Oryctolagus cuniculus: one gene and its partners. The protein of the gene in region 1 purifies or fractionates together with the protein of each later gene. This does not show direct contact. Links are inferred from orthologs where the notes say so. Each region holds a gene or a part of one and is shown in the gene's direction. Other genes may lie near its edges. The genes, in order: AXIN1, LRP5, DVL3, HIPK2, PPP2R5A, LRP6 and MAP3K1.

Region 1 (4,286 bases):
AGCCAGGAGCTTCTTCTAGGTCTCCCACACAGGTGCAGGGGCCCAAGCACTTAGGGCATCTTCCACTGCTTTCCCAGGCCACAGCAGAGAGCTGGACCGGAAGTGGGGCAGCCGGGACTTGAACTGGCACCCACATGGGATGCTGGCACTGCAGGTGGCGGCTTTACCAGCTGCGCCACAGTGCCAGCCCCTCTCCAGCTAACTTTTAGCCAGAACTGATTACATTGTGCCGGGCTGTGTTGCAGTCAGTGCCTTGGCTAAGCCGAGAGGCATTATTGCCAGGTGCATGGTCTCTGTGGGGCTGAGAGGGGCATGGCAGGAAGGGCCAGAGACCGTGGCAGAGTCCTGACTGTGTCATGATCTAGCAAAGTCTGCGTGTCCCTTGTGGGCGCAGCACCCAAAACTCGCAGTTCCCCGGCCTCCAAGGGGCTGAGTGCTTGGTGTTGCTCTAGAGTTGTCCTGTGAGTTGCATGGTTCCTTAGCAGTGCAGTTGCATTTGCCTTTCATTTTTTTCTAAATCGTTTCTGTCCCGGAGGTCCCTGGGTACCGTTTGCTGTCAGGAGGGCATTTCCTGGGCAGACATGGCCTGGTGTCCTGTGTCAGAGCGTCTGCTTGTTCCCAGCTCCAGTTCTGATTCCAGCTTCCTGTCTTCGCAGACGCTGGGAGGTAGCAAGTGTTGTGCCAGGTTGTGTCCTTCCGTCCATGTGGGAGACTGGATTGAATCCCCAGCTTCTGGCTTCAGCCGGGCCCCGGCCCCGGCCCCGCCGTTGTGGGCGTTTGAGGAGTGAATCAGCAGAGGGGAGCCCTCTGCCTGCTTGTCCCTCTGCCTCTTGAGTGCGTCTTTTAGGAGAGAGGCCGCGTGGGGAAGGCTGCTCTGTGCGTGGGGGGTGTTTTCCATCCCCGGGTTCGTGGTGCTGAAGGTGACCCCCGGTCGGCTGCTCCTGCGGTCTGTTCGCACGTGCTGCACGGCCCCCGTGTGTGAGGTGAAACAGGAGGCAGGAACCCTGGCTGTGGGCCTGGCCGGTGTGGGAGCCAGAGCGGCCTCCCCGCAGTGGGTGTCGGGGCTCCCCCTCTCATCTGCGTGTCGTCTGACTGGGGTGACTGTCCCGGGTGTGTGAGGGACCAGCTCTCACCTGAAAGCCCCCCCCCCCCCCCCACCGGCCTTCCTGCCCTCCTGCTCACTCAGCTCTTCGGCCCGCTCGGAGGGCCTCTGCGGTGCTCAGAGTGCTGCTGGAGGCAGTGCGTTCTCTGTGCTCTGGGTGCTCCCTTGGCATGAGAAGCGTTCCTGTGGTTGTAGGAGTCTGCAGGGATTGTTTTGATGTGGAGCAAACCTTGCGGCCAAAATGTGTCTCCGTTTCAACTGTACACGGACTTTCTGGCTTTGGGTCATCGCCAGTCTCGTCTGGAGGGAGCCCCTCGGCCGTGTGTGCGGGGGCCCACCTTTTCCTAACCCGCGTCCTCTCTGGTTCCCGCAGGACGGCCTGACTCACCGCGAGCTGCGAGCACGGATGCTTTAGGGGGCGGCGCTCGCTGTCGCTTGCCGCACAGAGTCCCACGATGAGCGTCCAGGAGCAGGGTTTCCCCCTGGACCTCGGAGCAAGTTTCACCGAAGATGCCCCCCGGCCCCCGGTGCCTGGGGAGGAGGGAGAACTGGTGTCCACAGACCCGAGGCCCGCCAGCCACAGCTTCTGCTCCGGCAAAGCTGCTGGCGTTAAAGCTGAGACTTCGACGGCTACTCCAAGGCGCTCGGATCTGGACCTGGGGTATGAGCCCGAGGGCAGTGCGTCTCCCACGCCGCCATACTTGAAGTGGGCCGAGTCCCTGCACTCCCTGCTGGACGATCAAGACGGGATCAGCCTGTTCAGGACTTTCCTCAAGCAGGAGGGCTGTGCTGACCTTCTGGACTTCTGGTTTGCCTGCAGTGGCTTCAGGAAGCTGGAGCCCTGCGATGCGAATGAGGAGAAGAGGCTGAAGCTGGCTAGAGCCATCTACCGCAAGTACATCCTGGACAGCACTGGCATCGTGTCCAGGCACACCAAGCCGGCCACCAAGAGCTTCATCAAGGACTGCATCGTGAGGCAGCAGGTCGACCCCGCCATGTTCGACCAGGCCCAGACGGAGATCCAGGCCACCATGGAGGAGAACACCTACCCCTCCTTCCTCAAGTCTGACATTTATTTGGAGTACACGAGGACAGGCTCGGAGAGCCCAAAGGTCTGTAGTGACCAGAGCTCTGGGTCAGGCACAGGGAAGGGCCTGTCTGGATACCTGCCCACTCTGAATGAAGACGAGGAGTGGAAGTGTGACCAGGACACGGACGAGGAGGAAGCGCGGGACGCGGCGCCTCCCAGCAGGCTCACCCAGAAGCTGCTCATGGAGACGGCTGCCCCGAGGGCCTCCTCAGGGAGACGGTACAGCGAAGGCAGAGAGTTCAGGTGAGTGGGCACCAGGTGTCCCTTTTCGGTCCTCGCCTGAGACCTGGAGAGCGGGCAAGGGCAAGGTGTGGGCGACCAGTGGGCTGAGTGCCCGGCTGCCCTTGGGGCTGACTTAGGACTCTGATTCTGACGCGTGGTACTTGCACGTTCAGTAGCGGTTTTTATGGTCGTGTTGTCCAGAACGCCTTGATCAAGAACAGATAAGAAGCCTGGGTGTGGAGGTCGTGAGCACTACTGCTGACACCTGCACTGAGACCCACCGCTCTGAAGTCCTGGGGGCTTACCGGGTGGGTCTCGTGCTTCGGCTTGGTAAAGGGAGGAGTGGCCGTCTGAATGCACTGGTAGCTGGGGAATTCTGGATCATTCCCCGCGATAGTGGCGTGCTGAGGTGCTCCCTAGAGGCCAGGAACAGTGCTGAGACCTTTGTGTGGGGGGTTGCCAGGTCCTCTGAAGACTTCTGCAGCTGTGGCTGGAGCCGCAGGGTCAGATCTCTGCCTGCCTGACATGGCAGTGCTGCTGGGAGGCGCAGAGTTCACAGTACCCAGGGGGTGACCTTGGCTGTTCTCCCATGGGTGAGGGCACCCACGGTGTCTGGACTGTTCCCGCCTGTGTTCTCCCATGGGTGAGGGCACCCACGGGTGTCTGGACTGTCCCCGCCTGTGTTCTCCCATGGGTGAGGGCACCCACGGTGTCTGGACTGTCCCCGCCTGTGTTCTCCCATGGGTGAGGGCACCCACGGTGTCTGGACTGTCCCCGCCTGTGTTCTCCCATGGGTGAGGGCACCCACGGTGTCTGGACTGTCCCCGCCTGTGTTCTCCCATGGGTGAGGGCACCCACGGTGTCTCTGGACTGTCCCCGCCTGTGTTCTCCCATGGGTGAGGGCACCCACGGGTGTCTTTGGACTGTTCCCTCCTGTGTTCTCCCATGGGTGAGGGCACCCGCGGTGTCTGGACTGTTCCCGCCTCTGTTCTCCCATGGGTGAGGGCACCCACGGTGTCTGGACTGTCCCCGCCTGTGTTCTCCCATGGGTGAGGGCACCCACGGTGTCTGGACTGTCCCCGCCTGTGTTCTCCCATGGGTGAGGGCACCCACGGTGTCTGGACTGTCCCCGCCTGTGTTCTCCCATGGGTGAGGGCACCCACGGTGTCTCTGGACTGTTCCCTCCTGTGTTCTCCCATGGGTGAGGGCACCCACGGGTGTCTGGACTGTTCCCTCCTGTGTTCTCCCATGGGTGAGGGCACCCACGGTGTCTGGACTGTTCCCGCCTGTGTTCTCCCATGGGTGAGGGCACCCGCGGTGTCTGGACTGTTCCCGCCTGTGTGGACACCTGGGGCGTCCCCAGTGTTAGAGCTTTGGAACCGCGGCTTTTCTTTTTTCCCGTGACCCTCCGTGATTACAGGGAGCCGTTGGGCTGCTGCTGGTGTGTGTTCCTCCTGGGAGCAGAGTTCTTGCGCTTCCCCCCTGTCCCCAGGAGCTGGCACCTGCGCAGCGTTGACAGCTTGGAGCTTGGGTGGCCCCTGCTGATCTAGACAGAACTCGGAGGACACGCCCCTTAGTGTCGCGGCTGCCCGTGCAGTTGCCGTGCACTGGACCAGCTCTCCTCTCTGCACTGGGACAGAGGAGTCGGCTGCTTTCTGATAAAACAGCACTAAGCATTTCTAAGGTTTAAACTTTTTTTGTTTTGAAGATTTATTTATTTGAAAGTCAGAGATAGAGAGGGAGAGAGAGATCTTCCGTCTGCTGGTTCACTCCTCACGTGTCCACAACTACCAGAACTAGGTGAGCTGAGTCAGGAGCCGGGAGTCTCATCCTGGTCTCCCACATGGGTGCAGGGGCCAAGCACGTGGACCA
Region 2 (3,500 bases), on another chromosome or scaffold:
CCACAAAGGCTGGAGCTGAGCTGATCCAAAGCCAGGAGCCAGGAGCCACCTCTGGGTCTCCCACGCGGGTGCAGGGGCCCAAGCACTTGTACCATTTTCTACTGCTTTCCCAGACCACAGCAGAGAGCTGGATCGGAAGTGGAGCAGCTGGGACTTGAGCCAGCGCCCAGGGGATGCTGGTGTTACAGATGCGGGCATTGATGGACAGGGCTTTCCCACGGCCACGTGCTCAGGAGTGGGGAGCCGGGTGGCCCAGGCTGGGGGACCCCAGAGCTTGGTTTGTTAAAATGGGATTTTCCAGTGCCGTGCAGCCGGCCAAGCTCAGAGCGCTGAAGGAGCACGGCACAGGTGGCTCCTTCAGAGACGGGGGGCGGCTCTGGCGCCCCCGCCCCTGCTCCCAGCCCCCAGCTCCTCCCCACGTGTCCCAGCAGCCACCTCGGCCCGTCACTGCCTCTGGTGCTGTCTGGGTGGATAAGCTTTGCTGTCACAGAACCTTCTAGAAGCATGTCCTATGGCAGGTGCTGTTTTGTGTCCTGCTGCTCCCACCTGGCCCGTGGGCTGTGGTTTCTGTTCCTGGGCCACTTCTGTCACGTGAAGACCCCCTGGGGGGCCCCTGGGGGCCGGCGTCTGGGTGGTTGCTGGCCTGCGGCTCTCTGTAGGACTTGGCACTGGGGACGGTGCCATGCGTGCAGGCCCCTGGCGGGGAGGCTCGGCTGCGGGTGAGCCCGTGGGTGCCGCGGCCGGGCCGTGCTGACACCGCGGGGGTGGGCGGTCTCCCCGCAGGTCAGGGGCGGGTCGTGATCGCCGACGACCTCCCGCACCCCTTCGGCCTCACGCAGTACAGCGACTACATCTACTGGACCGACTGGAACCTGCACAGCATCGAGCGGGCCGACAAGACCAGCGGCCGCAACCGCACCCTCATCCAGGGCCAGCTGGACTTTGTGATGGACATCCTGGTGTTCCACTCATCGCGGCAGGACGGCCTGAACGACTGCGTGCCTGGCAATGGGCAGTGCGGGCAGCTGTGCCTCGCCATCCCTGGGGGCCGCCGCTGCGGCTGCGCCTCGCACTACACCCTGGACCCCAGCACCCACAACTGCAGCCGTGAGTGCCTGCCCCTGCAGCAGCCGGGCCGTGGGGCTCCTCAGCCGGGTGCACGGGGATGGCTGAGCAGGTCGTGCGCTACACAGAGTCGGTGGAGCTGCCTGGTGGCCTCGGCCGAGCTATGGGGTCTGTGAGGCATCTCTGGATGTGAAAACCTACCTCTAGGGGGCGCTCTGCACTGTTCCATGCATTCAGCGAGGGACTCCCCCGGCCCCTGCTTATTCCCAGACAAGGAGCCCCAGGCACAGAGCGGTGCGGTCACCTGCTCAAGGCCACACAGCTGGGCTCGGGCTGGCTCTGGGCGGCCATGCCGTCTCCTAGTGGCCTCTGTGTGTGTGTGTGTGGGGGGGCATCTTGTTCTTCTACAGTGATAAGAACAGGGACATTCAGGAGCCAGGGGTGACTTCCTGTGTCCCTGCTGTGGGTACTGCTGTGACAGCTGCAGTGTCCGTAGCTCAGCTCCGCGCCGCAGGCCACAGTTCTCACAGCGTGGCGTCACCCGGGCCCTCTCTGCCCTGGGCTCGTGCAAGCCCTGAGCTGGCCGGCGCTGGGCCTGGCTCCCTGCAGCCCGGTTCCCCGTGACCCCGCTGCTCATGGCCCTCCCGGGGGTGAGCCTGGGGGCTCAGGAGGCCGTGCCAGGGCCAGGAGCAGATGTTGTCACCTGGGTTCCCTCTCCGCGGCCGGCAGACCTGGGATGACACTTTGGATTTCAGGACGCGTGCCCTGGGGTGGCCTCCACGCGGGCCGAGTGCCATGTCTGCACCAGGCCACAAGGGCTCCTGTCTGGACCCGTTCCGCCGTGAAGGAGGGGCCCTGGGAAGCAGGTTCTTTGTGTCCCCGTGTCACTCTGAGGAGGCCCAGGAACAGCTCCGGGCGCCCCCAGGCCCCAGCTCCCTTGAAAACCAAGACCCAGGGCCGCAGGGAGACTGCGCCTTACTGGGCTTCCAGGCGTCGGCACGCGGCTCCCTGCTGTCCCGTTATCTGCGGCTCACCGGCCCCACTCCCCGAGGCCCGTCCCCTCCTGGTGCCGTCAGCCGCCCACATGGGCGTGCGTGGGTGGACCGCAGGCTACTCGTGGGTGACACACGTGTTCATGGCTCTGAGTGGGGGCTTCGCTGCCATTCCTTTCCTTTGGTCCTGAGTTCTAATGGTAAATGCCGTCCCCGGTTCAGAGCTGACACCTGCCCTTGCACACAACGGGGGGGCACAGCCTTTGTCCTGTGGTCTTCCTCCGCGGACATCCAGCCGTGCAGGTGCGGGTGTGCTTTTCAGAGTCCAGCGGGAGGGAGGCCAGCTGTCCGTCTGTCCATCCACCCGTCCGTCCTTCCGCCTGTCCGTCCATCTGCCTGTCCTGGCCGCGTCCCCTGCAGCCTGCGGGCGCCAACGTGCCGCCCACTGGTCTCTTTGCTTTGCTCCAGCGCCCACCGCCTTCTTGCTGTTCAGCCAGAAATGTGCCATCAGCCGGATGATCCCGGACGACCAGCGCAGCCCGGACCTCGTCCTGCCCCTGCACGGGCTGCGGAACGTCCGCGCCATCGACTACGACCCGCTGGACAGGTTCATCTACTGGGTGGACGGGCGCCAGACCATCAGGCGCGCCAAGGACGACGGCACCCAGGCAAGTGCACCGCCGCTTCCGTGGGGAGACCCCTGGCCGCCGCCCCCTGTGCAGCCTGGCCCTGGTCAGGGTGAACGGTAACGTCACTGGCAGGTGCCATCCTGAGCCGTGTGGGACCCTGGGCCTGGCCAAGCCCGGGGGAGACCCCCTGTGCAGGGCGACCGTGCCTGCGTGGGCGTGGGTGCTGTTGGTCACGCCCATTTATCCTTTATCTCGTGGTCCACTCTCCCGTGAGCCTGTGCGTCGGTGCTCTGTGCCGACAGCACGCAGGGCTCATGGGAGAAGCAGTGCTGGGGCACAGCGCTCAAAACCCCAGAAGCAAAGGGTCCCCCGTCCGTGGAGCGCCCGGCGCAGGCCTGTGCCGCGGGAAGCTTGCTTCCGTTGCCCGTTCCTGGTTTCTGGGTGGTTTCCGGTGTCTGCTGAGCAGGTGGAGTGTCCGCCACGGCCTGCTGTGCCAGAGGCCCGGGGCCCAGGATGGCGCTCACCCCAGACGGCCGAGCCTTTGGGAGGGGCCCTGGAGGGGGGCCTCAGGTCGTGGGGTGTGGCCCCTCGAGCTCTGCAGAGGGTCCTCATGGAGCCCGAGTTTGGGATTGGCCCCTCTCTGCCCCGTCCTCCGTGCGTGCCGCTGCCCTCACTGGAGGCCGTGCTGATGGGGCTGTGTGGTCTTGGCCTGGAACCCCCTCACTGTGAGCTGACCGTTGACCTGCCCTCGCAGGAAAGCTGGCTCCTTGGGGGTTTGCTGTGGCAGTGCGGGGCTGCCTCATGCACGTTTCTG
Region 3 (4,104 bases), on another chromosome or scaffold:
AGGCAGCAAATGATGGCTCAAATATTTGGAGACATGGATGGGGTTCTGGCCTCTTGTCTTTGACCTGGCCCAATCCTGGTTATTGTAGGCATTTGGGGAATGAACCAGCAGATGGAAGATCTTTCTCTCTCTTTCCTGTTCCCTCCCCTTCTCCTCCCCTGCATTTCAAATAAATATATATCCAGGATCATATGAATGTTAAGGATATTGGGAAAGCATTATGGAATGTGGAGAGGTTTCCCAGTGGAAGAGGTGAGTGAAAGTGCTGCTTGCTAACTTGGCAAAGTGTACAAAGTGTCCGTACTGCCGCCTGTGATCTCCCTGCGTGTGATCTCGCCCTGCCTACCTTTCTAGCTTCACCTAGTCCCTCTAGGCACAGTCGCCTTCTTGCTCCTCACGCGAGTTAAGCTTCTTCCTGCCTTGAGCTTTTCTAAGTGGCCATGGAATACTCTTGCCCCCATCCCATGGCCGCTTCCTGCTTGTTATTTTTAGGTCTTGACTCAAATGCAAAAGGCCTTCTCTGACTACCCAGAGTCCTCCTGTTCCTGTCACTATCACAGTACCCCATTGTATCTTTCCATAGCATTTGTCACTAAGAAATTATTCATTTCCAAGCCTCGGTGCTTCCTGGCAGGTGAGTGAAGGCCCTGGATGCTACTGCTCTATCTCCATGTCTTGCCCTTAGTACGCACTCGAAATGTATTACGTTAATTAAAAGCCAAGGGATGAGGAGGCCTGTTAGGAACCGATTATACCTAGCTCCCACTCGAGGCTGACTGGCCCAGTGATGCACGCATAGGCTCATTCTTCATGCAATCCATTCACCTAAGCCACTACTTTGCTCCCAGACGCTGAGGTTCTGAGGAGACGTCAGAATCCCGGGACCGTCAGGCCCTCAGGGAGCTCAGTCACCGCGGCGGGGCTCCTCAGCGGACCCTGGAGGGCCACGCTGAGATAATGTCCTCCCGCGATCCAGTCAGGTCCACCCCCTCCCCCAGACCATCTCCGGAGCCCAAAGCGCCCCCTGCATTCCAGCCCTCTCGGGCAGGGCAGCGAGGACCGCCGGTCCGCTCCAGCGGGAGCCCGGGACGCGGCAGTCCCGAGAGATCCGCCCCTCCGCCCCGGGGGCCTGGGGCCCGGGAGCCGCCGCGCGGTCGGGGTCACGGAGGCCAGGGAGTCCGCCGGGGCCGGCCATCTGCCGCTCTGGCCGCGCCGCTCGGCGGCTGCGGCGGCGGGGGGCGGGGCCGTGCCGGGGCGGGGCCACGCCGGGGCCGGGGGAGGGGAGGCGGCCGGGCCGCAGCGCCGAGCCCGGCGGGCCGCGGCCACCGGAAGAGTCGCGGTCGCCAGCCCAGCCGGGGGAGCGGGGGGCGGAAGCGGCGGCTGCGGCCGCGGCGGGCGGCGCTGGGACCCGGGAGCGCCGGGAGAACAAGGGAGCTGGCGCCGCGGCCGGCCGCCGAGCTGGGCTGAGCCGCTGGGCCGCGCCGAACGCCGCCGCCGCCGCCGCCGCCGCCCGAGAGGCCCGGCCCGGCCGCCCGAGCAGGCCGCGCGCGGGCCGCCGGGCCCGAGCCGGGGCCATGGGCGAGACTAAGATCATCTACCACCTGGACGGGCAGGAGACGCCGTACCTGGTGAAGCTGCCCCTGCCCGCCGAGCGCGTCACCTTGGCGGACTTTAAGGGCGTCCTGCAGCGACCCAGCTACAAGTTCTTCTTCAAGTCTATGGACGACGATTTCGGGTGAGCGTGGCCCCCGCCTTGCCTCGGGGGCCGGCCTCAACTCCCCCGGCTTTCCCCGCGTCACCCTGGCTTCCAGCGAGCGACCCCCTGGCTTTCTCAAAGGCCGGGGTTCGGGCCGCTCTGGACACTCCCCGTTCACCTCTCGGGGGGGGGGGAATCTTGGTTTCCTAGTTTGGGGGGACGTCCCCTCTCCCAGAGCCCATTTCTGCCCGTCGAGCCCCCCCCCCACCTCCTCAGAGACCACACGGAGGGACACACCCCCGCACACCCAATTCCAAAGCCTTGGTCCCCCAGCGCCGTCCTGCAAGGGAGCCACCTTTTTAGTGCAGACTTGGGGTGTTGGGTGTTGGGCACTCGGCCTTCGCCTTCCCCATATTTGGAGTATCCTGCATCTGAGGGCCCCGCCGTGGGACTTTGAACTGGGGGAGGGGGCGTTGGGGGATGCTCGGCGCCAGGCTGGGAGCTGGGCCTGTAGACCTGATGTTTATTTAGCTGTCTCCCCTCTGGCCCGCGGGCAGTTCGGGGATTGCCAAGGGAACAGAGTGCCTGACCCCTGAGGAGCAGTCCTCACTAACCCAGGTGCTGATCCCTGGGCACTGGGGCCTTTCCTGTCCCGCCGTGGCCAAGGTGGACTTTGGGAAGGGCCTCAGAACCTGGATGGCAGGGCCAGGAAGAGCTCATGGTGTTTGTCCCCCTCCCTGGTGGCGGCTCCTCCTGCTGCAGGGCTCTGGACCCACAGAGTTTGGAAGCAACCACTTCCCCTTTAAGAGGGGATGGAATGTTGGAGAAAGGTTCTTAGCAGCTGGCCTGGGAGGGGGAGCCTGGCTGATCCCCTCACACACCCCCTCCCAACTCCCTGGGGACTGGGGGAGGGGGAGGCCCCCACACTAGCCTGCCCCACACTTACTGGGCCCTGGGCCTCACAGCGGCGGCCTCTTCAGCCCTAGCCTGGGGCCCCAGAGCTGAGTGAGGGGAGGCATTCTTGTCCCCACTGTTCGTCAGTCTGGCTGCCCTCCCAGGGCCCTGGCCCTGGGAGCCCCAGGAAGCACGCACCCTCTGTGTCTGTCTGGCATGTTTGGCTGTCACCTTCTGCCCTGGAACTCAGGGTGTGAGGAGCCCCTGGAAGTGTGTGCGTGAAAGTGTTGTGTACAGTGGGAAGTGTGGGGCTCACTCTTGTTTGTGTTGTTGGTGCTCCTGCCCTGGGGTGGGGTACTCCTGGTGTGGTAATGATTGTCTGGTGTCAGACACCCCTGATGAGTAGATTCTGAGGGATTAATCTGGAAGGAGTAGGGGCTAAGGGCTGGGTGCCTTAGCCTGGCAAGAAAGGACTGGGGTTGGAAGAGACCTGGATGCCACCTTGGGATACAGGATTGGGGGAAAGCAGCCAGAGTCCAGTGCACAGGGCCAGATGCCTGGAGGAACTAGGCTAGGCCTGTGTTTCCACCCTTCACCGACCCCGCCTCTGAAGCTTAGACTCTGGGGGCTGCCTCTCCCTTTCCCTAACTGCAGCCATAGCCTGGGACTCCCTGCTCACTGTTTCCTTACTGTTTTTCTTTAAGTCCACTGTCAGTCCACTCTGTATTCTTCTTAGCTTGACTCAAAGACATTAAATTACAGAGCCAGTTTTCTTAGGTATATTTCTTTATAAAATACATTAAAGATAAGTATTGAACTGAGCAACATTTATTCATGTGCCACCTGGAGCCATCTTGCATACAGCCTCTCTCTGTGAGGTATCAGAGCTGGCCATGCTAGCAGGGTTGAGAACAATGCTAAAAATGAAGTGGAGGTGATTGATCTTGTTTGTATCCCCTGAAGGAAATGAGCAGGAGACCTGGCAGGGCCGTCTTATCACAGAGGATTGACGGCTGAGGAGCGTATATATGTTTCATCTATTTGACAAACTTTGTGGGCCTTCCAGTGTGCCAGGCAATGATCTAATGCTGTTCAAATTTTCACTCATTGAATCCTCATAGCAGCCCTATGAAATAGGTCATAATATCCTATTTACAAATGAGAACACAGAAAGCTCAAGTAACTTGTCCAAGGTCACACAGCGAGTAAGCAGCAGAGCTTGATTAGACATCAGAAATTTGGCTCCAAAATCTAAAGCCATAGTCATGCAATTCCAGGTAAGATTATTATTTTTTTAAAAAGGGTTTATTTATTTGAAAGACAGAGTTAGAAGAGACAGAGACCAAGAGATCTTCCATCAGCTGGTTCATTCCCCATATGGGCTCAATCACCAAGACTAGGCCTGGCCAGAGCCAGGAGCTTCATCTGGTCTCCCAAGTGTGTGGCAGGGGCCAAGTATTTAGGCCATCGTCTGCTGCTTCCCCAGGCACATTAGCAGGGAGCTGGATCCGAAG
Region 4 (3,500 bases), on another chromosome or scaffold:
ATTAATATTTAGCACCCGCTGCCCCTGGAATGGCCAGATCGCCAGTTTAGCGCTGACTGCCACGGGATACCTGCTGACACTGCTCTAGGCTTCTGTTTTCCTCCGAGACGCTCAGGCCCCGCGTCCACCGCTGTGAAATGTGACCTGTCTCGGGGTATTCTGCGACCCATCCTTGCCACTTCTCCTTGCGGGTCACTTTGCAGGGTCTTCTCTTGAATGCCTCCTTGGGCACCCTCCTCAAAAGCATGTGTCAGAGCTGGGGAGTGTGCAGCAGCTGTCTGTGCGTGGGGAGCGCCCCAGATCCCCTGTGCCCCATGACCGTGTGACCTCGACTTGGTTTCTCATCTGGCTGTGCTAGACACAGGTTCTCGAGAATATTGGGTTTCTAGAGATGCCTCCAAGGGGGCCAGCATTCTGCATCCCAAGTGCTGTGGTCCCACCTGTGCCCGCCCCATGGAGTCCCCGCTGCTGGGGGCCGGCAGGCACAGACCACTCAATGCCAGAACTGACCGACAAGAGTTATTTCACAGAAATGTCTGTGCCCTCTCGTTGTCATTCCACAAAAGGCCCGCAAAATCAAAACCCTAAGTTCCTGTGCAAAGACGCAGTCTCCCCTGTGTCGGCCTGGTGCTGTTGCTGCAGCTGTCCCGGTGGTTGGCCTCCGGTGCAGGGCTCTGGCCAGCCCTCTGGGTGCACTGATCTGAAATTTCACTCCAGACCCCCTCCTGTAGACAGGGCTCTGACCGGCCTGTGGCCGAAAGCCTGCGTGAGCATTGGCTGGTGCTGGCGGCAGACTGGGCGAGCAGCAGGCCACTCCACATCGGCCCACCTGACTCTTGGACACGTGACCCTGCCAGTGGGCAGTTAGCTCTGAACTCGGCGTGTGGTGGCCCATCAGCCCCCTGTCTGCATGACCTACGCTCCCTCATTCCCACCCTCAGCCTTCTCTCGGCCGCTCCTGAGACACGGCAGGACCTCAGGAAGTAGTTGTGGGATGGGTTAAAACAGCCTCTGAAGGGGCCTGGCAGGACCTCTAGGAGCCATCCTACCTGCAGTGTCACCCGGCTGCTCAGGGCCCACCCACCAGCAGTGTCAGCAGCACCCCAGGCGCCTGTTAGAGTGCAAGCTGTGGAGCCCCCTGCTGGCAAGGAGCCCCGCGTCTTTCCACCTGGGGCCTCTTGCGTGTAGCCCGGGAAGAGCCCTCGTGTTTGGCCATGCTCGGCCCTCATGCCTTTCCCCGCTGACTACGTCTCATCCAAGAGACCAGACCGGGGGCTCCGAGGGGCCGTTGCAGCCACTGTTGCTCACCTTGGTTGCTCCTAGGCACAGTCTGCAGTACCTGCACAAGGGCAATACCTGCCGAGGGCACTAACAGGAGTCCCTCCAGCCGCCTCCCAGATGCTGGAGGCCACGTGGCCAGGGAGGGCCAGCATCAGCCCCCCCCCCCCCCGGCTGTCATCTCTCTCTGCTTCTCCTGCACCTGTCCCCTCTTTCTTAGCTTTATCCCCTCATTTGCAGCCTTGGCCACCCTCTAGACCAAGGGCTAGACAGCTACAACCCAGCTGCCCACGCAGAGTGAAGGCCAAGTCCTAGCTGAGTCTGGGGAAGCTGAGGCCAGGGTTGGCCTGGCCAGTGTGGGCGTCCTGGAGAGCCCTGACCTGTGACCTCCTCTTCCTCCCGCCACAGCAAACACCAGTCACCACGCGTCCTCCTACAAGCCCAAGTCCTCCAGCAACGTGACCTCCACCAGCGGTCACTCTTCAGGGAGCTCCTCTGGAGCCATCGCCTACCGACAGCAGCGGCCAGGCCCCCACTTCCAGCAGCAGCAACCCCTCAATCTCAGCCAGGTGAGTCCCTGCCTGATGGCCGGCGGCCCCCACGGCAGACCCTCACACCCCACAGAGAGCGGCACGGGGCGGAGGCTGCCCCGGCAGGGTCGCTCGTGGGGAAGCTGACAGCACTGGTGCGTGGGTCGCACAGTGCTGCCTCACCGTGGCAAAGCACTCGTGACTTGGTGCCGAGCTTAGACTAGGAGCCCACAGAAGGCTGCCTCCCCCAGCAGAGGCAAGACACCAACCAGGGAGAGCCCTGCTGTGCACCTCACTGCGGGGCGGGGCGGGGTGGGGGGGGGACACACTCCAGAGACCCACCCAACCTAGGGCAGGAGAGTCCTAGCCTCAGCCATGTGTCCCAGCAGCTTAGCTTCTCCAGGTAGGAGACAGTTGATGGAACTGCCCATGGCAGCGTTTCCGAGGGCGCAGGCTTCCTGCCCGGGGACCCCAGCCGGTGAGGGGCAGGCCTGCTTGCTCCACCCAGTGCAGGCTCATCTTCACTCGCTCCATATCCCAAGGCCAGCACCCCTGTCCCTCCTCCACTCCCGGCCTCCCCCGTGTACCCCCTCACGCCGCCCTCTCTGGGTGCCTCTGCTCCGCAGGCTCAGCAGCACGTCACCACGGACCGCGCCGGGAGCCACCGACGGCAGCAGGCCTACATCGCTCCCACCATGGCTCAGGCACCCTACTCCTTCCCGCACAACAGCCCCAGCCATGGCACTGTCCACCCCCACCTGGCCGCCGCCGCAGCTGCCGCCCACCTGCCCGCCCAGCCCCACCTCTACACCTACACAGCGCCTGCTGCCCTGGGCTCCACCGGCACCGTGGCCCACCTGGTGGCCTCCCAAGGCTCGGCGCGCCACACCGTGCAGCACACTGCCTACCCGGCCAGCATCGTGCACCAGGTCCCCGTGAGCATGGGCCCCCGGGTCCTGCCCTCTCCTACCATCCACCCCAGCCAGTATCCAGCCCAGTTCACCCACCAGACCTACATCAGCGCCTCTCCAGCCTCCACCGTCTACACTGGATACCCACTTAGCCCTGCCAAGGTCAACCAGTACCCTTACATATAAGCACTGGAGGGTGGGGGAGGAGACGGCGGAGAGGGCGGGAGGAGGGGTGGGGGAGGAGACGGGGCCAGAGAGGGCGGGGAGGAGGGTGGCCAGAGCTCCTGGGACCGAGGAGGGAGCTGGCTTTTTATGCTGAAGACACCGCACACAAACAATGCAAATGGGAGGGGGCGGGGACTGGGACGGACGCAAAGGAAACTTGAACCAGGAAGTGAGGAGGACTTAGAGCAGAGAAGAGAACATTTTAAAAAGGAAGGGATCAAGGAGGGGGAAATCTATGCTTTTTATTTTAAAAAAGAAAAAAGAAAAAAAAATGTTGGCAACAAAAAAACACAGCTCATGCACCCACTCTGCACCAAACTGGAAAGGAGAAGAGAGCCACAGGAAGATCCCAGAGGGGCCCAGTGTGGGGAGAACTTTTATCTATGAACTTTTCAAAGATTATTTTCATACGACGGCAAGTGGCATTGAAGAACTTGCTGTCAGGGACACCTGCTGTGCAAATCCAATAGATTTTTAATTAACTGAACATACGAATTAGGGATTTTTCCAGAACTCTAAGAGTCGACACCCCCTCCAGAATGAGGAGGCTGACATT
Region 5 (3,500 bases), on another chromosome or scaffold:
ACTAGTACCAGTATTAGGGAACATCATTTATTAAGTAAAGTTAAATGCATATAATTATTTCACCTTTAAATTGGGGGGAAATTCAGAAGATTTAAGAAAAACCATTCAAGACACAGATTAGCAGAGAACAAGCAGATTCTGCTTAGAGTGACTTGATTGTCTTTTGAGTGGGAACTAGAATAGTGAACACATGACATAGTGTGTTTATTACATGGTGTTTCATTCACATCCCCAATAGAATGAAATTTAATTTACAGATAATTGTTTAACACATTAGTTGATATTAAAAACAGCAGCACGGGGCAGCATTTTGGCATAGCAGATTGAGCTGCTGTCTGCAATGCTAGCATCCCGTATTGGTGCTGGTTTGAGTCCCAGCTCATCCACTTCCAATCCAGCTTCCACCAATGTACCTGAGAAAGCAGCAGATGGGCCAAGCAGCAAACGACGGCCAGTACTCACATGGGAGACCTGAACAATGATGCTCCTGGCTTCAGCTTGGCCATGCAGTCATTTGGGGAGTGAACTAGCAGATGGAAGATCTCTGTCTCTTCCTCTCACCAACTCTGCTTTTCAAATAAATCTTTTTTAAAAAGCTTAAAGTTTAATAGTCTTTTTAAAAGAAAAGATATATCAAAATGTTCCTACTTCAGAACAGTTCCATAGAAGGTGACCCTAAATCAAAAACTTAGCCAGAATCATAGTAAAAAATGTCATATCTGCCAATGTTATGTAGATTCTGAATACTGATCTTAGAATTGTAGACCTCAGCTTTGTGTAGCACAGAGAACTATTAATGATTCTGGAACAAAATGTTAAACAAGAAGTTTTTACTGCATAGTCACAAATAAGAACTTATTTAGAGTCTTCATATTTTTATTTCAAAATTCATGTGAATTTTACTGCCCTTTACAATATTTCAATATATGTTTTACTGTAAAACTTATGTTTTAAATTATCGGTAGAGTTGACCAATGAAAATATACTGTATTTGTCATCTATCAGTGAAGGGGCATAGAATATTTGAACTGTTACATTTAAGGAATAGCTTAACTAAATCAGCTTTTTAAGGACAGCAACTTAAATAGTTGCAGAGTAACTTTAGTAGTTTTCTGCACCAGAGAAATATGAGCACAGGCCTCCTTGGGTAGGTTGTCATTTTTTAAAACAACTTTTAAAAATACTTATTTACTTATCTGAAAGTCAGAATTATATATAGAGAGACAGACAGATCTTCCTTCCTCTGGTTCACTCCCCAAATGGCTGCAGCAGAGACAGGAGCCAAAGCCAGGAGCCAGGAGCTTCTTTCAGGTTTCCCACATGGGTGCAGGGGCCCAAGTCCTTGGGCTATCTTCTGCTGCTTTCCCAAGAGCATTAGAGAGCTGGATTGGCGTTGGAGCAGTCGGAACTGAAACCAGCATCATTGTGCCACACCACCAGCCCCGGTTATGTTTCTGTAGATTTCTACCTGTATCTTTATATAAAGTAGGTACTGGTTTTAAATGGAACAATAAGGGCTGATGCTGTGGCACAGCGGGTTAAAGCCCTTGTCTGCAGTGCTGGCATCCCATATGGGTGCTGGTTCGAGTCCTTGCTACTCCACTTCTGATCCAGCTTCCTGCTAATGGGCTTGGGAAAGCAGCAGAGTATGAGTCCTTGGGAGACATGGGAGACCGGGAAGAAGCTCCTGGCTCCTGGCTTCCAGTTAGCTCAGCTCCGGCCATTGCGACCATTTGAGGGGTGAACCAGCAGAGGGAAGACCTCTCTCTCTCTCTATCTCTCTGTAACTCTGTCTTTAAAATAAATAAATCTTTTTAAAAAATGGAATAGTTTATGAGCAGATTATGAACTAAATATCATTGTGACTTTAAAAATATCAGTAGTTCAAGAAACTTAAGTAATTGACCTAATTGAAGGTCCTAGTTTATGGATTTGAAAAGTTCAAATTTGAAGTTTTGTTATTTATTTATTTTTGTATGGTGGAAACAAGAAGGTAAAGCATTTGTTGAATGCCTGTTGTGAGCCAGGCTCTGGTTAAGTAAAGAGAGAAGGGGGGTGGGGGGGATGTGAATTAGATAAGTAACACTTGGTTCCTATTTTTCAGAGTCTCATGGTTTATCAGATATGTGAAATATAAATGGCATGTAGCACAATAAATACTAAATAGAGCTATGTGCCTAAAATACATTTGGGCAGAAGTGGATTAACCAGCCAATGTAGTTTCAGGACCAAAACAAAAATTTCTAAGAAGGGACTTTCCCTGCAATGTGATAAATGAGTTCCCAGGGTGGCACTGTGGGCAGAAGGGCATATTTTATGCAGAGGAAACAATGTACGATCTTCAGAGAATTGCAGGGAGTACAGGTTAACCAGGGTGAGAAGCATGCTGGGATGAACTCAGAAGGGACTCACGACAGTAGCAGCTACACTTGTGTGTACAGTTCAGAGGAGTTTGAACTTCAGTCTCTAATTATTGAAGGATCATTGAGAAGATCTAATATGATTCTGTTGATTCTCATTTTAGCAAGACTTCAGCTTTTTAAATAGTTTGGAGGATAGGATAAATCAGGAGAGGTAGTGGTCATGGGACCAGGCAAAAGGGACAATTAAGACAGTTAGGGATGATGAGAGCAGTGGAAATTAGAAGAACAAGATAGATTCCAGATAGTTTAGACTATTTTAATAGCATTGAATGATATAATTTGAAGAGTCTACTGTAAGTCCCTAAATAACAGTGTTAGATGGGTACATTGTCACTAGACTTCTGAAGTTTTATTTTTTGTGTATAAATAACTTATGAAAAGTTACTAAATAAAGGTAACTTCTGAGTAAATTATTTTTATGTTTTTTTTTTATAGATGCCACTTCAAATGAACAGCAAGAGCTTTTTTGTCAGAAGTTGCAGCAGTGTTGTGTACTATTCGATTTCATGGACTCTGTTTCAGACTTGAGGAGCAAAGAAATTAAAAGAGCAACGTTGAATGAATTGGTTGAGTATGTTTCCACTAATCGTGGTGTACTTGTTGAATCAGCATACTCTGCTATAGTAAAAATGGTAAGCTTCTGGATTTATGTTTCTCCTACAAAGTCAAGTAATATTTGAGGTGTAATTATGAATTAATAAGACTGTTAATATATAATAGTATAACAGCTCACATGAAAGGTTATCATCAGTTCCACTGATGCTTTCATTGCTTAGCAAGAGTTTGAGAATCCAATAGCCAATGGCTAGTGGTTCCCATATTACACAGTACAGAGCTGGAGCTTAGGGGAAAGATATATACTTCAGATTATATGGGTTGGTAATTAATATCATGGGAGTGAATAGAATAGTCACTGAGAGAGAATTTTTAAGTGGAAATGATAGTTCTGGGAAAAACTCTGGGGGTTTCCAATTTAAGAAGTAGCTGGGGCTAGCGCTGTGGCATAGCAGGTAAAGCTACCACCTGCAGTGCTGGCATCCTGTATGGGCGCTAATTGGAGTCCTGGCTGTTCCATAG
Region 6 (4,279 bases), on another chromosome or scaffold:
TGCCTGGCCTCGACCCCAGCATGTGTTTCCTGGGCGGGCAGTGTCTGAAGTCACTGACCCGGGTTGGGTTCAGGTCCCTGCCTGAGCGGCCTTGGGTAAGTCACCGGACCTCTCAGCTTACTTTCCTTCTGGGTGCAATGAAGACACTAAGCGTCAACACCTGCGCATCCCAGGATGTTTCGAGCCTCAAACCTGATCGTGCACGTGCCGGCACTAGGTGAACTCCAGTGTCTCTGGGGTGTGAGCAAGATCCCGGGAGTGACTGCATTTCCTGGCCCGGCTGCCTTCTGGGAAGGGTGGGTGACAGCTGCACAGAAGGCACCTGACTGTCGGGGTGTTGGGGGGATTTCAAGGGGTGTCTACGCCCCTGCTCCCCAACGGCTCTGTGCACTGGGAGAAGCCAGAGGCTGTGCAAAAGCCGAAGCGCTGGGGGATCTCTTCCTTCTGAGCCTCGACCATCAAAGCGTGCCAATCACACATTATTAAATGCAAACTCAGCTTTGTCCAACTGTCCCTTTTGCAGGCTTAGGTGCCCATGCACTCGTCTTGGAAATTTTACTCCTCCAGTTTACACATTTTTACGTCTTGCCGGCCTTCACTCGGGGAGCAGGTGTCTCTGGGAAGGCAGGAGGAAAACAAGAATTGCACTTCGGCCTTGGCATGTGAACCTACCTCAGCAGATCCACGTTTAAAGCTGGTGTGACCAGCGTTGGTTTTTATTTTCCTTAAAAAAAAAAAAAAGGTGTTCAAACTGATTTCCAACCCCGAAGACCGAGTGCATTACCCCGTGAGGGACTCCGCCGTGGCTCCTGGAGCGTGGACCCGCTCGCCGGCCCCCCGCACCTCGCAGGCCCCGCTGGCGGCCGCCGCACCCCGGGAGCTCCACCTGGCTCGTCCGGCGTCCGCCGCACAAAGACCGGGGCCGGGGGCGGCCCGGCCGAGCCGCAGAAAGTAGTCCCGACCACGCCGGCTCCAATGTTGTTCGACGTCGCCTCACGCCCTCCGCGGGGAGGGCCGAGGCGGCCAGCCCGGGAAAGAATCCCATCGGAATGCGCGGCCCGGCAGCCTTTCCTGGAGCCGCTCGCCTCTGCTCGCCCCACGCATCTCCCGGGGTCTCGCCGCGGAGGCCGAACGCGCGGTTTTCCTCTTCTTTGCCCAAGTGCGCGGGAAGCGGCGCCGCGGGAGGGGGGCTCGGCCGCGCGCAGGGAGACCTCCACGGCGACCCTTGGCGACGGCGGGCGGCCGTATCCCTGCGCCGCTGCGCGAGAGGAAGAGGCTGAATGAGGAGCTGCGCGGGGGAAGTGGGGCGCCGGGGGAGGAGGCGGCGGGATGGGAGCAGACGCTGGCGTCGCGCGAGCCCGGGGCAGAGCGGCGCGGTAGAGAGGGCGGCGGCGGCGGCGGCGCGCGCGGAGCCTTGACGTGCCTCTTTCTTTCTTCTTCTGTCTCGGGGAAGCCGGGGAGCATGATCGCGCAGCTCTGCCGCTGCGGCGGCCGCCCCGGCTCCTCGCCTCCCCCTCATCTGGTCGCCTCTCGCCGGTGAGAGGAGAGAACGCGAGCCGGGAAGATGGGGGCCGTGCTGAGGAGCCTCCTGGCCTGCAGTTTCTGCGTGCTCCTGAGAGGTGGGCAGAGCGCGCGCGGCGCGGGGCTGGGGGGGGGGGCGCCCTGGAAAGTTGGTGGGATTTGGGGGTGGGGGGAGGTGGCCTTGTTTTGTGTGTCTGGGGGGGAGGGGAGCGAGGGAGGAGGAGAGGGGAAGAGGAGCGCCGAGAGGCCTGGTCGTGGGGAAGGAGCGAGAGAAAGGGGCCCGGGCGCAGGGGCTGTGCGCTCCGCCCGGCCACGATCCAGACCCCAGCCCGGCCTTGCAGACCTCGGCGTGGACAAAGCTGCGCGTCCCTCCGGGCTGCCTGTCTCGGGGAAGCGCTGGCCGCCGGCTCTGGCGGAATGACTGAGTGTGCGCCTCCGGCCGCCGGGCGTCCTCAGGGGAAAGGGGCTTTGCTCCGAGTTCGGCTTAAAAAAACAAACAAAAACCAAAAACGTGGGGAGTCCGAGATGCGCCCTGGAAACCCCCACCTTCCCCCGATCTCTCAGGTGAACTTTCTAAGCCCTCTTGGCGATTTTTCCAGGCCTTGGTTGCTACTGATCATTTGGCTTCCGCTTGGGCTGGGACGATCCCGGGCGAGGGCACAGTTGGAAAAGTGACTCCGGGGTTATAGGGCAAGCGTGGCAGCGTAGGGATCACCCGAGCGGCGGCCCGTGCTCCGAGACCGACGTGGCTCTGGGAAGCCCTGGTATTTGCGGAGTTGGCAGCAGCGAGTGGGAAAGTTGTGCTTGCATGCGGAGGCCCCAGTCCTGGGACCTGGATGGTCATTTGCTGCGCACCCCCACCCCACCCCGGGGGTGGGGGTGGGGGTGGGGGATTACTTGGTACTTGGGTAAATAACACAGACTGGGTAATTTACTCCGGGAGTCGCTTCCATTCCGGGGTCCCGGGATGTGTTGCATTGCCCTGCAGTGCTGACACGCTGGCTGTGACTTCTCGTGTGTGAACTGGGTTTGGGCTGGTCCGCAAGTTTTGCACAGCTCTTCTCAAAACTTGTGGAGAGGAGTCCCGGGCTCTTCAGCAGCTCCCAGCGGAGGAATTTAAAGTCCAAAGTGTGGTAGTTGTGGTTTTGTTAAAATTCTGGCTCGTGGTCCTGGTCAGGTCTTCGCAGGTGTGAGGTCTCTGGAGGTTTTCTAGCTACTGATGTAACAGACAAGTTGTGTGAAGCCCTCCCAAACTTACCAGGTACAGCACATGACAGTAATCAACGATCTTGTGTTAGAAATGTGACAGATGCGTCGTTTCTGTGCGCATGTGTGGATGTATTTTTGGGTGACAGGAACTGACCTTTTTGATGTAGAAGGGATATTTTCTTTACTCTTCTGCACCACTATTAGGATTGCGTGTTACATTTATCCTTAACGATTAACACTTAATCCAGACGGTCCATTTCCACAGGTAAACCCCAGAGAATGTAATGCAATTTTATGTTATGTACTTGGGCGTTATAATCAGTATAGTATCTGTACTTTACTGTTACAGTCACTGTTGAAAGTTTCACAGCTGTAACTGTGAGAAACAATCGTATGTGTCATAGGGCTGTGCATATATATATATATTATTTGATAGATAGAGTTAGACAGTGAGAGAGAAAAAGTCTTCCTTCCTTGGTTCACCCCCCTCAAAAGGCCGCTACGCAGATCCGAAGCCAGGAGCCAGGCGCTTCCTCCTGGTCTCCCACGGGGTTCAGGGGCCTAAGCACTTGGGCCGTCCACCACTGCCTTTTCGGGCCACAGCAGAGAGCTGGACTAGAAGCGGAGCAGCCGGGACTAGAACCCAGCACCCATATGGGATGCTGGCGTCGCAGGTGGAGGATTAACCAAGTGAGCCTTGGCACCGGCCCCTGTGCACATATATTTTAAGACAGAAGGCTAATAGAATTAACCAAAGAATGCCAGATGGTTACAGGAGTCTTGGGGAAGTCTAAACCCATAACCTGGGGGTTCTTCTGGTTGCCCAGTTGTATTTCTTGGAGGGGAAGAGTGTGATGTAAATGCTACTAATTTATTTTAACACCAGGTTTGAGCCCAGAGTTGGATGTGTTCATTGGAGTTGAGAGAGGTTGCATTTGGAGAAATGTTTTGAAGTATTATATTGTGTAGCAAGACCTAGAAGAGGTGATAGTTTAAGAAGTGGAGCTCATTTTATGTTGTAGCATCATAATGGTATGAGGTGGTCTTTTCTGTTTACCAGCATTTAGCAGTGTGTGCTTGTTACTTGAACTAAAATTATGTTTGATGTGAAGTGGTCATAATTTAGATTGTCTTCCTTCCTTGATAATGTCATCTACAGATACAAAAATGATATTTAGTCAGCCTTGGACTCCAAGGAGAAAAGTGTGACTAGTTTGTTTCATCAAGGTCATTTTTCCTCACAGAAGAGTTGGAGCTTTACCATTGGGTATGTGATGGATTGTGTAAGAAAGAGCTTGGGAGACTTTTTGTTCTTGTAGCCCTGTTTTGTAAGTAGCTGAAATCCAGGGAATATTATTTCCCAGGCTGTGTCCTGTTCCTACCATTGGATGATGAGGTGATGAGGTGTAGTGGAAACATTTGGGGATATTTTTCAATACCAAAATCTTAGGTTAAAAGCCCAAACTTTACTACTTCATAGCAAACTTCTCTGAGCCCCAGATTCTTTACCTGTAAAATGTGGCTGATGATAGCTACCTGATGAATTTAC
Region 7 (3,987 bases), on another chromosome or scaffold:
AGACGGTTCAGGTATAGCTGTATACGAAGACCAGCACGAAGGCTCCCTCGTCTCTACGCGAGGGCAGCTCCCTCTCCGATGCTTCCATTAACTACTCCGCACAATAAATCTAGAGACGCTGCTCCTGGGAGATTGCCCAGCGCAGACGAGAGGGGACAGAAACGCGACGCAGAGCTCTGTCGGGGGAAAAAAAAAATAGGGGTGTGGGGGGGTAGGCGTCTAAAACCGCTAACACGCAAAGGTGAGCTTCTCCGCGGAGGCTCCCAGGGCCCGCGGGGCGGAGGGGACCCCGGCGGCCGCCCGGTCCCGCCGGCGAGAGAGACGTGCGGCGAGCGGCGTCGCAGCCGCCGAGGGCCGGGCGCCGGCCGCGGGTGACAGGAGCGCGCACTTCCTGGCACGGCGCTGGTTCCTGCCCCCAGACGCGCTCGGAGCGGCTCGAGGCCGAGCGAGACAGCGGCAGGGACCCCCGCCGCTCGGGGTCTCCCTCGCGCCCGGCGGTGTCAGGAGGTGGACAAGGTGTTACGGGCAGCTCTCGTGTTCGTCCCTGGGAACGGCGCGGTGGGGCAGGGGACCTGAGGGGAGGCACTCTTGTCTTTAAGCCGAAACACAACTTGAGCTTTTCGGGCCGCAGCACCCCGGGTTTGCTTTCGCTTTGCAGCGTGCGACAGCCCCGGGCACCACCTGCGCCACCTCCGGAGCGGAGCCGCGGCAGGGTCTGGGGGTAGGGGGAGGCCGGTCTGCGCCCGAGTTCCCCGACGCTCACAGCCAGGGGCCGTGCGGCTGACGGACCGCACCCCCGAGTTCCAGTGCATTGATTTCTGTAGCGAGCTCCGGGCAAGCCGGGGCGAGACCGCGGCGCGAGGCTCCTCCTGTCGCCGGTGCGGCCCGCACTACCTGGCAGCGCCGCGGGGGCAACGCGCACAGCCCAGAGCGCCCCCGCAGCCGACACCGCCGAGCCCACGCAGCCCGCCCGCGCGGGGCCGAGCGCAACGCCCGCTCCTTCCCACCTGCGGCCGCCGCCTCCGCCACCGTCGCGGGCCAGTCCGCACGCCCGTCACCCAGGCCGGGCGCCCGGCGGGCGGCGCTCACGCAGTTGGCGCAGCGGCCCTACGCCGGCGGCGCAGCGCCCGCCCGTCCGTCCGCCCGCCCCCTGCGCTCTCCCCGCCCCCTCCCTCCCTCGCAGGGGCCGAGCGAATGTAGCCCGCGAGAGAAAATGGCGGCGGCGGCGGGGAATCGCGCCTCGTCGTCGGGATTCCCGGGCGCCAGGGCGGCGAGCCCCGAGGCGGGCGGCGGCGGAGGGGCCCTCAAGGCGGGCAGCGCGCCCGTGGCAGCCGCGGGGCTGCTGCGGGAGACGGGCAGCGCGGGCCGCGAGCGGGCGGACTGGCGGCGGCGGCAGCTGCGCAAAGTGCGGAGTGTGGAGCTGGACCAGCTGCCCGAGCCGCCGCTCTTCTTCGGCGCCTCGCCGCCGTCCTCTTCCACGTCTCCGTCTCCGGAGCCCTCGGACGCAGCGGCGGGTGCGAGCGGCTTCCAGCCGGTGGCGGTGCCGCCGCCTCACGGAGCGGCAGGCGGCGGCGCCCACCCTGCCGAGCCGGCGGCCGCGCCGGACACAGGCGCCCCGAGCCCCGCGGGGGCCGAGCCCGGGGAGAAGCGGGCGCCCGCCGCAGAGCAGCCTCCTGCAGTGGCCCCCGCTGGGTGAGCAGCGCGGCGGGGACTTGGGGGGGCGGGCGGACGGGCAATGAATGAACCCCGGGCGGCGCGCACGGCGTCCTGGGGCTCGGCGCAGCGGGACCGCGCGCTGCTCGCCGGGACCTGCGCCCCCAAACTCCCCCGACCCCCTCTGGAGGCGGGCGGCGCCCCAGAACCCCGGCTGGGGCACGGGACGGGGGCGTGCGGGAGTTTGTTATTGTTTGCAGACATGTGACAGGCGTGCGAGCCGCGCTGCGGGGACCCGTGGCGAAAAGGTGTGGGGGGCCCCCCGGCTGGCTTTGTGGGGCTGCCGAGGTCGGGGCTCTCCGAGGAGCCAGGGCGCGGCGTCCCGAGGCCAAGCCGAGGGGGCGGGGAGAAGGCCGGCCGCGGCGCCCCAAAACGGTGTCCCCGGGGCGGGGGGCTTGGGGGGCGAGGCCCCATCGTGCTGCAGGGTGGGTGGGGAGCCCAAGGTCGGGGCTGGTGGGGGCAGAGAGGCAGGGCCGAGGAGAAAGCGGCAGGTCCCCGGGGACGTGACAGGCAGCGCCCCGCGGCCCGCCGGGGGCCTGGAGTCTCAGGGCAGGTACTGGGAGCCGGTCCCGGGCGCGGTGCACGGCCCGGTAACCCCTGTCAAAGCGCTGCTCCACGGACTGCAGGCTCGTGGGCGCTTGCAGCCTTGCAGGACGTGCGGGTTTTCGAACCTCGTCCCCCAGGGGTCTGTGGGTGCTCTTCGGGAATGCAAAGTTGCACCGCGAAGACGCGAGGGATCCCTGCTCGGAGTTTGAATGTGGCCTTTGAAGTTTGCGTTCGGCGGAGTGGTGCCGGAGCCAGGACCGGATGTGTCAGCCATTCAGTTTGAAAGCGGCGGTGACGGCTCCCCAGTCCCTCCGGCGTGGCCCCGGGGCCGCGGCGCGGGCGCGGTGCTTCCTGCTCCGCGCGGCTGCGGGGCTGCCCGCAGTTCTGGGGCGCCGGTGTTGCGGGCTGCGGCTCGGGGAAGCCCTCCGCTGCGTGTCTGGAAGGTCATTGGGACCCGCTGTGCTTTGGCCTCGCCCTGCTTTGGCTCCTGCAAAGTGTGTGTGTGTAAGATGATTGTGAGTGTGACAGCCGTAATCCTTGATCGTGGTCACAGGAATCTGACTAGTGTGTGCAGAGCGCGAAGTCTTGCAGGAAATGTTTTTGTGACAGTCGCTCGTCGCCCTTTGGAATTCTGGAACTTGGTGATGGGAATGAAGTGTGTTTTATTGTGAGGAGTTTGACAGTGGGAATCTGTGGTTTTGCTTAGATATCTAAAGCCAGTGGCACTTTTTGTGCCTTTGGTCAGTTCTTTAAAATCAGTTTATTATGTGGATGTGCCCCCCCCCAAAGAAACCTTAAAACTATGCTCAGCGCCATACCATGGCAGTGTTGAGACGGAGGGGAGGTCTGGGACTGGTATTTTTCCGTGTGCACTTGTACGTGTAAATTGGCATTAAAAACATTCCCCTGTACTTTCCTGTTTCTATGTGGATTAGATTCAAACTTAACTAGTATCACTCTTTGAAGGCAGTTGTTACTGCAAGTGAACTTTTTAATCCCCAGTTTGAGAGATTAATTTTACCTAATTTCATGAGACCTAGGTTTTCGGATAAATAATCTGGCAAACATCAGCCCTCTATTCACTTTCATGAGCTGTAAATGTAGTATAAGAGCAACCAGTGTAAATACAAAACTTGTTTAGTGTCATCCCTTGACACAGACCGAGAAGACTGGGGTGGAAGCAGACAGAATTGAGGAACTGAGTCGTCCATGCTTAATTTTTGGTTTTACAGTGTAGTTATGAAGGCTCCTCCCTTTGTCTAAGAGGTGTGTTATGGCACAGTATGTAAAATAACAGACAAATATGATCTTTTGTTTACTTTTATTAGCCAGAAAGCCGTTGGTTATATGTAAAGATTACATGTTATGTAAAGATTTCATTCTAATAAAATGTTGATTTCTTATACTTTTGAAATATAGTGTTCCCCCCATTTCCTTGACATGAGGATTGAATTTATTTGAATTTATTGGTATAAAACTGATTATGGAGAAATTACTTGGCATTAAATTCTTTTACTTATTTATATTGCATGATTTTATTTATACCATGTGTAGTCTTAGAAAAAATTTTGATGATAAAAATTCAATTAAAATCTCCATTGAACTTTACATTTTTGCTTTTTAGACAGGAATTACATTCATACTTTCAATTCAAAACTCTAACACTGAGATTTTGAAGTATTTTTGTGTTTCAATAATAAAGGTCTGGAAATCCCTTCTGTCTCAAAA

Evidence for each region.
Region 2: the proteins of AXIN1 (region 1) and LRP5 purify together in Homo sapiens (affinity purification with western blotting; 3 studies listed by BioGRID). This does not show direct contact. The link is inferred for Oryctolagus cuniculus from reciprocal best matches to the Homo sapiens genes AXIN1 and LRP5.
Region 3: the proteins of AXIN1 (region 1) and DVL3 purify together in Homo sapiens (affinity purification with western blotting; 3 studies listed by BioGRID and IntAct, with this or other methods). This does not show direct contact. The link is inferred for Oryctolagus cuniculus from reciprocal best matches to the Homo sapiens genes AXIN1 and DVL3.
Region 4: the proteins of AXIN1 (region 1) and HIPK2 purify together in Homo sapiens (affinity purification with western blotting; 3 studies listed by BioGRID). This does not show direct contact. The link is inferred for Oryctolagus cuniculus from reciprocal best matches to the Homo sapiens genes AXIN1 and HIPK2.
Region 5: the proteins of AXIN1 (region 1) and PPP2R5A purify together in Homo sapiens (affinity purification with western blotting; 3 studies listed by BioGRID and IntAct, with this or other methods). This does not show direct contact. The link is inferred for Oryctolagus cuniculus from reciprocal best matches to the Homo sapiens genes AXIN1 and PPP2R5A.
Region 6: the proteins of AXIN1 (region 1) and LRP6 purify together in Homo sapiens (affinity purification with western blotting; 7 studies listed by BioGRID and IntAct, with this or other methods). This does not show direct contact. The link is inferred for Oryctolagus cuniculus from reciprocal best matches to the Homo sapiens genes AXIN1 and LRP6.
Region 7: the proteins of AXIN1 (region 1) and MAP3K1 purify together in Homo sapiens (affinity purification with western blotting; 5 studies listed by BioGRID and IntAct, with this or other methods). This does not show direct contact. The link is inferred for Oryctolagus cuniculus from reciprocal best matches to the Homo sapiens genes AXIN1 and MAP3K1.

Annotation. Positions count from the first base shown.
Region 1 is NC_091450.1:34,296,037-34,300,322, forward strand, and holds the start of AXIN1 (axin-1), read left to right. Parts: upstream 1-1,486; 5' UTR 1,487-1,557; coding exon 1,558-2,435; intron 2,436-4,286. UniProt on the Homo sapiens protein: Component of the beta-catenin destruction complex required for regulating CTNNB1 levels through phosphorylation and ubiquitination, and modulating Wnt-signaling.
Region 2 is NC_091432.1:4,147,557-4,151,056, reverse strand, and holds part of LRP5 (low-density lipoprotein receptor-related protein 5), read left to right. Parts: intron 1-783; coding exon 784-1,107; intron 1,108-2,525; coding exon 2,526-2,725; intron 2,726-3,500. UniProt on the Homo sapiens protein: Acts as a coreceptor with members of the frizzled family of seven-transmembrane spanning receptors to transduce signal by Wnt proteins.
Region 3 is NC_091435.1:93,733,808-93,737,911, forward strand, and holds the start of DVL3 (segment polarity protein dishevelled homolog DVL-3), read left to right. Parts: upstream 1-1,304; 5' UTR 1,305-1,574; coding exon 1,575-1,735; intron 1,736-4,104. UniProt on the Homo sapiens protein: Involved in the signal transduction pathway mediated by multiple Wnt genes.
Region 4 is NC_091434.1:184,453,268-184,456,767, forward strand, and holds part of HIPK2 (homeodomain-interacting protein kinase 2), read left to right. Parts: intron 1-1,686; coding exon 1,687-1,847; intron 1,848-2,434; coding exon 2,435-2,905; 3' UTR 2,906-3,500.
Region 5 is NC_091444.1:26,822,355-26,825,854, forward strand, and holds part of PPP2R5A (serine/threonine-protein phosphatase 2A 56 kDa regulatory subunit alpha isoform), read left to right. Parts: intron 1-2,858; coding exon 2,859-3,055; intron 3,056-3,500. UniProt on the Homo sapiens protein: The B regulatory subunit might modulate substrate selectivity and catalytic activity, and might also direct the localization of the catalytic enzyme to a particular subcellular compartment.
Region 6 is NC_091440.1:109,922,250-109,926,528, reverse strand, and holds the start of LRP6 (low-density lipoprotein receptor-related protein 6), read left to right. Parts: upstream 1-1,479; 5' UTR 1,480-1,564; coding exon 1,565-1,619; intron 1,620-4,279. UniProt on the Homo sapiens protein: Component of the Wnt-Fzd-LRP5-LRP6 complex that triggers beta-catenin signaling through inducing aggregation of receptor-ligand complexes into ribosome-sized signalosomes.
Region 7 is NC_091445.1:77,490,725-77,494,711, forward strand, and holds the start of MAP3K1 (mitogen-activated protein kinase kinase kinase 1), read left to right. Parts: upstream 1-1,187; 5' UTR 1,188-1,213; coding exon 1,214-1,692; intron 1,693-3,987. UniProt on the Homo sapiens protein: Component of a protein kinase signal transduction cascade. Activates the ERK and JNK kinase pathways by phosphorylation of MAP2K1 and MAP2K4. May phosphorylate the MAPK8/JNK1 kinase.